Macaca fascicularis: one gene and its partners. The main gene of each other region encodes a partner of the protein of the gene in region 2 in a complex. Links are inferred from orthologs where the notes say so. Each region holds a gene or a part of one and is shown on either strand. Other genes may lie near its edges.

Region 1 (3,749 bases), on a different chromosome or scaffold from region 2:
CTTTTCACACTCAGGTTCAGTCATGCCAGCTGGAAAGAGGTGTTAGATATGGCTTTATTCATTCTAAATCTGAGAACTGTAGTCATTTCCAAGACATTTCAAAAATTGAAAGCAACAGCAATTTGTCTTCATGATCTTAAGTCTTCTAATTCAAAAGCACTTTTGAAAACCATTTCTACAAACTTAGAAGGTATCTGTACGAATAATTTGCATGCTATTGCTTAGAGTCAAAGTATTCTGTCTCAGATTTCCTAGTGAATGAGGAATACTTAGAGATAAAACACACACACACACACACACACACACACACACACACACACACACACAGGGGAACCCCGTAACTGAGCCACTTCAGATACGACATCCATTAAGAGGGCCTTTGCTTCTAACTGTGTAAGGGTCGTTGGCTGTAGTCTGACTTGCACAAGAAGTACACATAGCCCCTGAGAGGCGCTTTAGTCCTCTTTGGAATACACTGTTGGAGAGACTATAAATGACACAGTTGCAGAAACTGTTACTAATAGCAAGCCAGGTGGTCAAGAAGGATGCGAAGCGGTTGCTGTGGCCAGTGGAGCTTTCCAACAAGAAGTAGATGATATATGGCAACCAGAGGATGTAAAATACACTAGTGATTCGAAACAGGACCATGGCATAGCGCTTATCAGGACAGGCCTGCACTTCCCCAGTCTCCCCACTCTGGCTGCTGAAGCGGGCTTGCCTTTCGCTGATTTCTTTTGTGTGCTGTTGACAGATGCGGAAGATGTTGAAATAGGTGAAGCAGACAATAAGGGCTGCTGGGGCATATAACATCATCACGATGAACAGGGTGAAGTAGGAGTCAGTGTGCCAGGATTCCGCACACCACTGAAACACATCTCCATGATATCCAGGTTTGCCCCAGTGGAAAAAGGAAGGCAGGAAGACCAGGGTCGAGTATAGCCAAATCAGGAAAATACACAGGCGTAGTCTCCAGGGTGTAACCAGAGTATTATAGGTTAAAGGTTTAGTAATGGCAATGTATCTATCAATGCTGATACAAGCCAGAGAAGCCATGGAGACGCTCTTCAGAACTGATACTACGAAACCAAATATCTGGCAAGTCAAGGACTCCTCTACTGGAAGGGGGTGATGGAGGAGTGATAAAGAAGGGACCAGGCAGCTCACCCCAACAAAAAGGTCAGCATATGCCATAGTCTGGATAAAATAACTTGTAGTGTGATGGTTCAACAAAGGTGCACAGTGAAATACAAAAATCACAATGATGTTGCCAGAAATAATCAATACAGTTAGAAAGACAATAATCAATACTTCCAAAAGGCAAAAATTGACAGTTTCCAAATAGCCAAATGCCAAGAGGCAAAAAGGGTGGCTGCTCTGATTACCATCCAAGGTGGAGTTCATCTTGAGCTCAGGAGTGATCTGTCACTTCATGCTGCCGCTTGGCTGCTGCCAACAGTTCAAAGAAGCAGCTGCTGTCATTGCGGTCAGCTTTGCATGTGTGTAATAATGCCAGAGGAGCCTTAGTCCCCAAGCTCCTGATGCTGCTGCTCTGGTGCATTGCCTGCAGTGCAATTCCCCTTTAAATCCTTCCTGGAATAAGGAGAGCCAGCAGTAGTTGTCTGGCCAGTCCCAGACGTGGCCATAGCGCCAGGTTCACCATACACATAGCACCAGGGGAGCAACGTAAACTCTGGGGACAACGTCTTCAGGCCAAGTGAGGGTAGGGGGAAAGGGTAGAAGAGAAGGGAAGAAGATTAGGAGCTTCAGCAGGAGTTGTAATGAGTCTCCTCTGAACAGCTGATAGAAGAAAAGGAGAGAGCATTTTACATTTCACATCCAATGCCCTAATCAAAGAACCTGGCTAGCTCAGGCTGGCATCATCCCTCCCACTCCACCCCTACTAGCACCACTATTCATGGCTACCCTCAATAGCACCCCACATAACTGATCTGTACTGTATAGAGGAGCAGCAGCAACATCAAGCTTTCAAGATCAGCATAAAACAAAACCAATCACAGTCAGATTAATTTACCCCCATTTCCTTTCATTTGAGACTTGGGGGAAAAAGGGAATTTGCTTATAATATTTATGAAAACCTTTCACTACAATTACCACTAATAAAAATAGCCAAAATAATTTACTTTCTTCATTGATTCCAATATAATATTTTGCCTCTTTGAAAACATTTCAACAGAATTTGCTGTTTAGTTCAATTTCAGAATGTTACCTGTAATTCTGCATGCTGCAATCCAAACAAAAGCCACAATACATCCTTAACAGAAAGCCTTGCAAAGCAGGAATGTGCTTCAACTCGCGTACTGCAGAACTGAGACACGAAGGGAGGGGATAAAGGAGTAGGAGGGGAAACAGGGAGAAGAGGGGGCTTGGGAAAAAGAAGAAAGGGGGAGGGGAAAGAAAACGCCTGTATGTGCACACACTCCGGAATCTTTAGCAACTAATTGGAATTCATCGTCAGAGAGGTGCCCCCTGATTTCCAGATTGCACAGTGTGGGAATGGCTTGCTATGCCTGCAGTGCCTCATTTGAAAGCTGTTTCCTCGTCTGTCTGGAATCCCCCTTTTAGTAGATAAGCAGAATTCAGGCTGCTAGCAAGGAGAAGGGGCAGGAGCAGAACAGGGTGTCAGGAGTTAGACTGAAACACACTGCCAGAGTGGTAATTCCTATTTTCTCATGGCATTTTCCCAAAGAACAAAGAGCAATATTAAAGAAAGGAAGTATATTAACCTCCTTTAAGTGTATGGCATATGGCAACTGACAATCATAATTCAGCTGCACAAGAAGTTCTAGCTAGAAGGCTATTCACCATTAATTTTGTCTCTCATGATTCACTGAATATTGGCCAAGAAACTTTAAAATCACTTTTTCAAGAGAAAAGTAAAGTATTTCCCATTCTGAATACTACAGAAATAGCACAGAGAAATTACATTGTTCCCATATTTGACACTACCCTATAGTTTTGAGATACATTTCTTGCTTCTAATTTGCTGAGCAGTATACAAGAATACAAACAAAAGATAGAAAAGTAAATGTACCTTCTTCTACTCAGGCATGGATATTACAGGAGGTTTCATGGTACAAATAAGCCTTTGTATCTTAGAATATACAATCTTGTTTCTGCCTATTTAAAACAATGCAAACTGGGATTATATTGTGGTTTTCCTAGTAATGTCATAAATGATGACAATTTTCAGGTAACAGAGTTGGGTGCTATGAAAATGTGTAATTTTAGTATTTAGAAGGATTAATTGAAAGTATCCAGCAGAGTAAAAGACAATAAACAAATGCTATCATTTGAAAGCTTTCCAAGAGGTAGGCAACTGAGTAAAATGTGTGATCCAACTTTCATTTTTAATTCATTTTATACACATGCTTTCTTATTACAGACAAATGGCCACCCATAATCAGAATGCAATGAATTATATTTTAAATCTGAAGCAGCAGCAGTTGTCTGGCCAGTCCCAGACGCGGCCATAGCCCCAAAATAAAAAACCTATTTAACCATAATCCTGACATAATATCTGACAGGTCTTACTGTAATATCTGACAGGTCTTACTGGGAAACAGAGCAAAGTGTGTGGCACAGTAAAAAGACCAATAACATCGAAGGAACAATAATCAGGTTCAAATTCTTGCTCTAAAATAACTTACCCTCTCTTAAGCCTCTGTTTCATCATTTGTAAAATGAGAACAACACTCCGTACTTCACAGGGATTGTGAAAGGGTTGTTGA
Region 2 (3,749 bases):
GCGGTGGCTCAAGCCTGTAATCCCAGCACTTTGGGAGGCCGAGACAGGCGGATCACGAGGTCAGGAGATCGAGACCATCCTGGTGAACACGGTGAAACCCCGTCTCTACTAAAAAATACAAAAAAACTAGTCGGGCGAGGTGGTGGGCGCCTGTAGTCCCAGCTACTCGGGAGGCTGAGGCAGGAGAATGGCGTAAACCCGGGAGGCGGAGCTTGCAGTGAGCCGAGATCCGGCCACTGCACTCCAGCCTGGGCGACAGAGCCAGACTCCATCTCAAAAAAAAAAAAAAAAAAAAAAGAAAAGGGAGAGCAAAATTGGGAGACCAAATGTTTTTTGTGATGCATGAGAAATAATAAGTCGGCCGGGCGCGGTGGCTCACGCCTGTAATCCCAGCACTTTGGGAGGCCGAGGCGGGCGGATCACAAGGTCAGGAGATCGAGACCACGGTGAAACCCCGTCTCTACTAAAAATACAAAAAATTAGCCGGGCGCGGTTGTGGGCGCCTGTAGTCCCAGCTACTCGGGAGGCTGAGGCAGGAGAATGGCGTGAACCCGGGAGGCGGAGCTTGCAGTGAGCCGAGATCGCGCCACTGCACTCCAGCCTGGGCGACAGAGCGAGACTCCGTCTAAAAAAAAAAAAATAATAATAATAATAATAATAAGTCTTCGGGAGTGTCAGTAACCACCTCCTGGGATTTCAGAGTTCCAGGGGTCGGAGGTAAGCTCTTAATAGCTGTGCCTCACTGGCTCACCCCTGGCTATTAGATCCCCTCCCCAGAGAATCGCCTTCTGAGGACTTTGTGACCGCACACCGTAGTTCCTGCTCTTCCCCCGGTTGCCAGTGTCTGGTGGGTGAGTGAGCTCACTTGTGACTGGGGCATGAAGGAGATGATCCTAGGGAGTCTCTTAACTTAGTCCAGAAATCCTCCTTCCATTGCTTGCTTTGTCTCCTTTTTCCCTTGAAGTTTATTTGTTAAAGACAGACTAACCAACCTGCCTGGTTGTCTGTGCTGGAGTGTTTCCCAGGCCGTTGTGTAGCACCGTTGCCTCCGTGTGGGGTCATTGAACACGCTCCCCTGTCTTCAGGTTCCGTTGCCTCCGTGTGGGGTCATTGAACACGCTCCCCTGTCTTCAGGTTCTGTTGCCTCCGTGTGGGGTCATTGAACACGCTCCCATCTGCAGGTTCTGGAGCTTTGGTCACATTCACTTTTTTGGTAAGATTACTTTATAGGCACAGGCAAAATCCTGAAGGTATGATTTTAAAAATTGTTACCATTGCAAAAAATAGCACCTCAAACAAGAACAGTTGTGTTATTTTTACCCATCTGCCTTCCGCTCAATTCTTGGCCCTTATTAGCAAGGTCATGTCTAACAACCATGCAAAGCAGCATCCTCCCTGCCCTCCCTGGCACACTTCACCCGTTTGGTGCCTGTGTATGCTCCACGTGGTTACCTGTTAGTCATCTGTCTCCCTCAGACTAGCAGCCAGCCTGGTTCATGCTGCTCAGCACTGTGCCGAGGCGCCATGGTGCCTGTCGTGTTGAAGGGAGGGTCTGCACATGCGCTGCTCTGCAGCTGTGTTAGTGGTCGTGTCCTTTTATCAGTTGTGGTGGTGCCCTGCTCCCCTTATTCTTCACAGTATTGTTCGGAGCGGTGCATAAAGGGAGCAGGGCCTGAGGACTTTCCGTTGCCCTTTGAATTGCCACAGTCTTAATTTTGGAGATTGACCTGGACTTGGGAATGAAAGAAAAATGGAAAAGTGAGTGAAATTGGTTTAAATTCCTCATGCAGACTCCTCTCTCTCAAAATACTGCTTCATCTTGGAGGTGAGCTGTGATCCTTGTGTGGCTGGTCAAATTAGCAAATTTCCTGCCCCTGTGTAAGACACTGGGGCCTCACTGGGGCCAGTTTGGACTTCGGAAGTTTAATCACTGTAAGGCTGACAGAGCACTTTCAGATTGGTTGTCTGATTTAATCTTCATTTTAGCCCTGTCATGTAGGTAACACCATTCCTATTTTGAATTAAGCAGATCAGAGTAAAAAACAATTTAAAGCATTATTCTTTGTATGTCGCAGAACCAGAAATTGAAATTATTTTTCAATATCTGTACCCTATTTTGTCATTGGCATACTTGCAGCCTGAATGTCGTTATTGCTGACTGTGTAATTTGGGGTCCTGCGGGCACCGCTGAAGTGCCGCTCCTAGACTCTCAGGGGCCTGGATGAGAGGCCTGGGCTGCTGCATTGCCATGAAAGTAGAGGCATTACACGGAGCACATTGCAATGCAAATGTGAAATATTCTGACTTTAAAAATCATGCTAACTAACACTTGACTCACAAAGATGTTGTTCTAAAGTAGGGGCAGATTCCTTCACCTACTTGCTTTTAAGTTATTTAAATCTCTCTGAAAAGGATTTCCAAAACTGAAATTCTAAATAAAAGCCAATGGCAGATATGGGTCATCGGGAAGGATAGACATGAGACCTCAGCAGACCCTGTCTTAGTGGATTAGACGGGCAAGTTCTTGGAGTCAGCACAGCCAGAGCTTAGCCGTGACATTGGCACTGGAGGAGAGGAGCCCAAGCCAGGTAAACCTGATGGTGGGTGTTCTAGAAGGTTTGGGGGACTAAGGATAGTGAAGAGAAAAGCAAAAGCAATAAAATGTAAGTACGACTTTTAAAATTTACATTTATTTTTTAATTTTCAAAGGAAGCTGCGTCAACATTAGGAAGTTTAGTAGAAAAACGTGACTAATAATTATAATAAAAATGCTGTTAGTCTTTTTAACTGTCTTTCTTTAAAATAAGTATATTTTTCTTTTCTTGTTTTTTTTTTTTTTAGGCAAGGTCTCACTCCATTTGCCCAGACTGGAGCATAGTGGCGCAGTCACGGCTCGCTTGTAGCCTCAGTTTCCCGGACTCGAGTGGGTTCTCCCACTTTAGCCTCCCAAGTAGCTGGGACTATAGGCGTGTGCCACTACGCCAGCTAATTTTTTGCATTTTTAGTAGAGGCCAGGTTTTCGCCATGTTGTTGCCTACCCTGGTCTTGAACTCCTGGGCTCAAGCTATCTGCCAGCCTCAGCCTCCCAAAGTGCTGGGACTATAGGCATGAGCCACCGCGCCCAGACCTATTTTAATTCTAATAAAGCAGCTAAAATTACTACCTGCGACTGGGTGCGGTGGCTCATGCCTGTAATCCCAGCACTTTGGGAGGCCGAGGCAGGCAGATCACTTGAGGTCAGGAGTTCAAGACCAGCCTGGCCAACATGGCGAAAACCTGTCTCTACTAAAAATACAAAAATTAGGCAGGTGTGGTGGTGCATGCCTGTAATCCCAGCTACTTGGGAAGCTGAGGTAGGAGAATCGCTTGAACCCAGGAGGCGGAGGTTGCAGTGAGCTGAGATCGCGCCATTTCACTCCAGCCTGGGCCACAGAGCTAGACTCAGTCTCAAATAAAATAACTATATGCAAATTTATATTGTTTTTCACTTAGTATATAGTAAGCGTTTTCCCAAATTATTACTCTCTCCATTATTGTTCTTAGCGATATGTTACAGTTCTTCCAGTAACTATTTAGAGACAAGATCTTGCTGTGTTGCCCAGATTGGAGTGCAGTGGTGCTATCATAGCTCACTGCAGCCTTGAACTCCTGGGCTCAAGCGATCTTCCCACCTCAGCCTCCCAACTAGGTAGGACTACAGGCACGTTCCACCATACCCAGCTAATTGCATCAAGTAACTTTTTGTTTGA
Region 3 (3,749 bases), on a different chromosome or scaffold from region 2:
TTTATTTTGCCAAGGAGACAGTGTTTAGTAACCTCAACGGTGCACAGCCACCTTGTGGTCCCGGGACGCACCGGATGCTGCTTTCTTAGTCCAACACCGCCTAAACAGAGTTAGGAAAAAAGTGTTGACTCCTGCCTTGCTCCACCCAGTTGTGGGCTAAAAGAGGTTGAGGGTGACTCGTCCTTGGAATCAACTTGCCTGCCTCCCAGAGCGCGCCTGCCAGCCTCCGCTGCGCCCCGCCTGGAATTGGATTGTCCCGGACTCCTGCTGACATCGAGGGTTTTAGGGGGAAAGAAGAGGAGTCGCAGTGTCCGACACCAAGTCAGGCACCCCATATCCCCGTCTTCCCTCGCCGTCCTCTCTGTTTTCATTCACCCTAAAACACTGTGCCCACCAGTAGTCCCCTGCACGGAGGGCACTCTTTCTCCAAATCCAAGTTGTGCCCCCAACCTACAGTCGCCCAACTCCGGACGCTCTCCCAGGGTTTGCGTGATCCCCAAGGTGTCTCTTCTCATCTCCTTCCTCTCAGCTCTTTTTTCCTTTTAGCACCCCGGCTCTTAGCCAGCCGTCTTCCCACGCCCTCACCCCACTTTCACTACCTAGCCCACTACCGACCCTTCCTCCACAGGCTCCCCAGTGCTATCCCCGGAGTGGCGGCTGAAGAAGCCAGGGTCACACTGTCTCTGGGGTAAGGTTTTTGTGGAAACTCACATCCTCCGGGGAGGGGACAGGGCTCCCAGAAAGCTGTCTCCCAGCCCAGGCTGTCGCCCCCCTCTCCCTCCCTACTCAAGGTCTAACTCGGGTCCCTCGCCTGCTTCCTGTGTTTACGCGGCGCTTTAGTCTCCCGGACTCGCAGAGTGAGCTCCAGCCCCGACTGGAGCGAGGCAGCAGCCGCGAGCGCAACCCCACTCGCGGGCTGGGGCGACGGGGGCTGGCGCGAGGCGCACGGAGCTCACCAGCTCTCCCCTCCCTCTCCTGGGACAGGAGGGGGCTGACTGGGGCGGCGGGGTCCGGGAGTGGCGGGGCTGGCTCTCGTCAATTCTGCTGCCACCTAGTCTGCCGCCTGTCGGGAGGCGGGCGGGGGTGGGGCGGGAGCGCAGGCGAGGATTGAGACTCTTAAGTCAGGAGAAGTTTGCGCACAGCTTCACAGCTGGGCGAGCGCAGGAAGGCGCCGGGAAGGTGAGCCTCCCGGACTTTGGGAAGGGAGAAAGCAAGCCTGGGGAAGGAACAGTTGTCTTTTAGCTGATAATACAACCTAGACTTGGGTCTGAACCATCTAAGACAGATTTAAAGTGTCAAAAAACCAGGAGAGGGGCGGAGAGGGAGGACAGAGACTAACGCAGTTTACTCTCACGTCAAACTAGGAAAGCCAGCCCCCCAGTCTCTGGGTGGGCTGCGCCGCGCGACTGGCAGCCTTCCCGGGTTGGAGAGGTGGGCACGTCCGCACCTCACCCTGCGGCTGACATCTTCTGCCCATGAGACGGACGCTGAAGCTTGGACTCCTGAATCCCTGGAGCCACACCTGCGAACGCCCTTCGCTTCTATTGAGCTGCGCCCGGCCGCCCAGTGACAGAATTCCAGGTAAGGAGGGTCTGGAAATGAGCGGGACTTAAGGATTTGGGGTGTCCAAGGGATGTTTAACAATGCAGGGGCGATAGGCACCTTGCTTTTTAATTATAGAACTGCGGTTTGATTGTGGTGCTTGAGGTTCTCATGTAGGGTCAGCTAGGACTCAGACGCTTTACTTTACCCTTAATAAAGAAAAAAGAACAATAGGTGTCCTGGGAAGAGCCAACAACTTATGGTTTCGTATTGAAGAATCTTTTGATTTCTTGTGACTTTTACTATGTTGTTAATATCAATTTTCCCTCAAAAGTTTTATTCTCCAACTTACTGGGTAGGAAAACTACGGGGGATAAAGGTGTGAATTTTCCCAAAGGGTGTTTATTAACTGACAAACAGATAATACCGGCATCTATAAGATGTGTCGTGGTTGTTCTGGATACTGGAAATGAGCACAGTAGTGAATGGAGTTGCTTGTTAGGTCATGTTTTACAGAGAATTATTTTCCAACAATCATTTATGCATAGCAGCCATTCTTCACACCTATTAGGAAAAATATGTTGTGTGCATAGTTTCCAAAAGAGTACTATTTTTCATGATGCTCTTCCCGAAGTCTGGGTGAAAGACATCAAGAAAAGCTGTGACAAATTAATTCCTTTTCTCAAAACATTCATTGTCCTTGAGGTCCAAGCCAAAAATCAACAATACAATTGAGATTAGTAAACTACCATAACGACTTTATTTAGCAAATCTACCTAAGCAAAGTTTTATATGAAAGCTTTAACCTAATATTATGTGATATTTGCAAGAAGAGAAGGCAGTGTTCCACTTGCTGATCTTCAGGAGACCCTATTTCCTGGCTGTGGTTAACCAGAATCAAGTTATCTGTGTAAGGCTATTTGTTTAAATTATTTGGTGATTGAAAGTGAAATGTTCAAAATAAGTCAAAGTTTTACAAAGTAGTTCTTAAAGCTAATCTTTAAATTATAGAGTGTCCGAGTTTAAGTCTGTATTAAAGATCATAGAAAGCAAATATTTTGTGTATTTTGACCAGTTGGCTTACCATTAAGGACGAAGTAGGAATGCTTTTAGTGTTATGGAATTTATAAAGTGTAATTTCTAATAGCATATTGCTAGCCTATGAGTTCAGTAGTAAAAGAACTCAGCTTTAAAAGGTTGAGATTGCTGGTTATACACTAGTATTATAAGAGAAACTAAGGTGATTAGATTTGTAAAACTTTTACAGTTTAAGTTGATATTCTCAGTGGGAACTCATTTCTACTCAATATTTCAACATAGCTCAAAACATCCATTAGCCGGGATTTGTTCTGGTTGAATGCCTCTAACCTGTAGCTTATTTTATGAACTATAGCCCAAGACTAATATCTGGTCATATTATAAAATGTTCTAAGTTTATTCACTGACTACATCAACACAATAAGTAAACAAGTAATCTTCATTATAACTAGTTTATAAGAACATATAAATAATCTTGGAGTTGTTTTGTTTCATGATTCTCAAAGTTAAAAAGAAATAGCTGATATAAATACAGCTTCTGTTTCTCATTTTGAAACCGGAGGTTATGATCGATGGTGGATGGAGAGCATTTGCTCTAATCAGTTAAAGAAAGGGAGCTAACTATTAGTTTAGTTGTGCCATGGCAATTCTGTTCTTGATGAACCTCTCAGACTCTGTCAATGTTAACATGAATGAAAATAATATCTATTGTTGGTTTTTATTAGAGTCCAAGTGAGATGGAAATAGGAGACGGGTAATGTTTTCAATGATAATCTAAACCAGTATTCTCAACTCGGGCAGCAAATTAGGGTTAATAGGAGAACTTTCAAAAAATACGGATGCCTAACCTTATCCCAATTCAATTAAATCAGAGTATCTGTGGAAAGGGTCTGCAATTTGATGTATTTCTTTAGGTGATTGTAGTACGCAACCAGGACTGAGAGCCTCTGACCAAGAGGGTTTCCACCAGACTTGGTAGAACTCACTGATGTTTGAGGCTCTTGATAAAAATAAATGCTGTTTGTTATATTGCTGGTCAAATAGTTTTTTCTTTTTAAAAAAGAAACATGTATGTATAAACATATATATATATATATGTATAACTTGATCTTACAATTAGAAGAAAAATATTTTAATATTTGATGTTAGATATTTAGACCATAACAGCT

The links.
Region 1: the proteins of GNB1 (region 2) and GPR21 are in contact, whole or in part, in a cryo-EM structure (PDB 8HJ1), measured with the Homo sapiens proteins. The link is inferred for Macaca fascicularis from reciprocal best matches to the Homo sapiens genes GNB1 and GPR21. Residues at the interface, in NP_001269468.1 of Homo sapiens: Gln44, Arg46, Thr50, Arg52, Ala309, Gly310, His311, Asp312, Asp333, Phe335, Lys337; in NP_005285.1 of Homo sapiens: Pro57, Leu58, His61, Arg313, Arg317, Thr324.
Region 3: the proteins of GNB1 (region 2) and CALCR are in contact, whole or in part, in a cryo-EM structure (PDB 8F0K), measured with the Homo sapiens proteins. The link is inferred for Macaca fascicularis from reciprocal best matches to the Homo sapiens genes GNB1 and CALCR. Residues at the interface, in NP_001269468.1 of Homo sapiens: Thr47, Arg52, Phe292, Ala309, Gly310, His311, Asp312, Trp339; in NP_001158210.1 of Homo sapiens: Arg174, Ser175, Arg404, Gln408.

What each region holds. Positions count from the first base shown.
Region 1 is NC_088389.1:21,037,164-21,040,912, forward strand, and holds the start of GPR21 (probable G-protein coupled receptor 21), read right to left. Parts: upstream 2,302-3,749; 5' UTR 2,228-2,301; intron 1,798-2,227; 5' UTR 1,402-1,797; coding exon 352-1,401; 3' UTR 1-351. UniProt on the Homo sapiens protein: Orphan receptor.
Region 2 is NC_088375.1:232,963,486-232,967,234, forward strand, and holds the start of GNB1 (guanine nucleotide-binding protein G(I)/G(S)/G(T) subunit beta-1), read left to right. Parts: upstream 1-1,578; 5' UTR 1,579-1,758; intron 1,759-2,554; exon of another isoform or gene 2,555-2,663; intron 2,664-3,749. UniProt on the Homo sapiens protein: Guanine nucleotide-binding proteins (G proteins) are involved as a modulator or transducer in various transmembrane signaling systems.
Region 3 is NC_088377.1:127,740,745-127,744,493, forward strand, and holds the start of CALCR (calcitonin receptor), read left to right. Parts: upstream 1-1,145; 5' UTR 1,146-1,179; intron 1,180-1,364; 5' UTR 1,365-1,475; coding exon 1,476-1,581; intron 1,582-3,749. UniProt on the Homo sapiens protein: G protein-coupled receptor activated by ligand peptides amylin (IAPP), calcitonin (CT/CALCA) and calcitonin gene-related peptide type 1 (CGRP1/CALCA).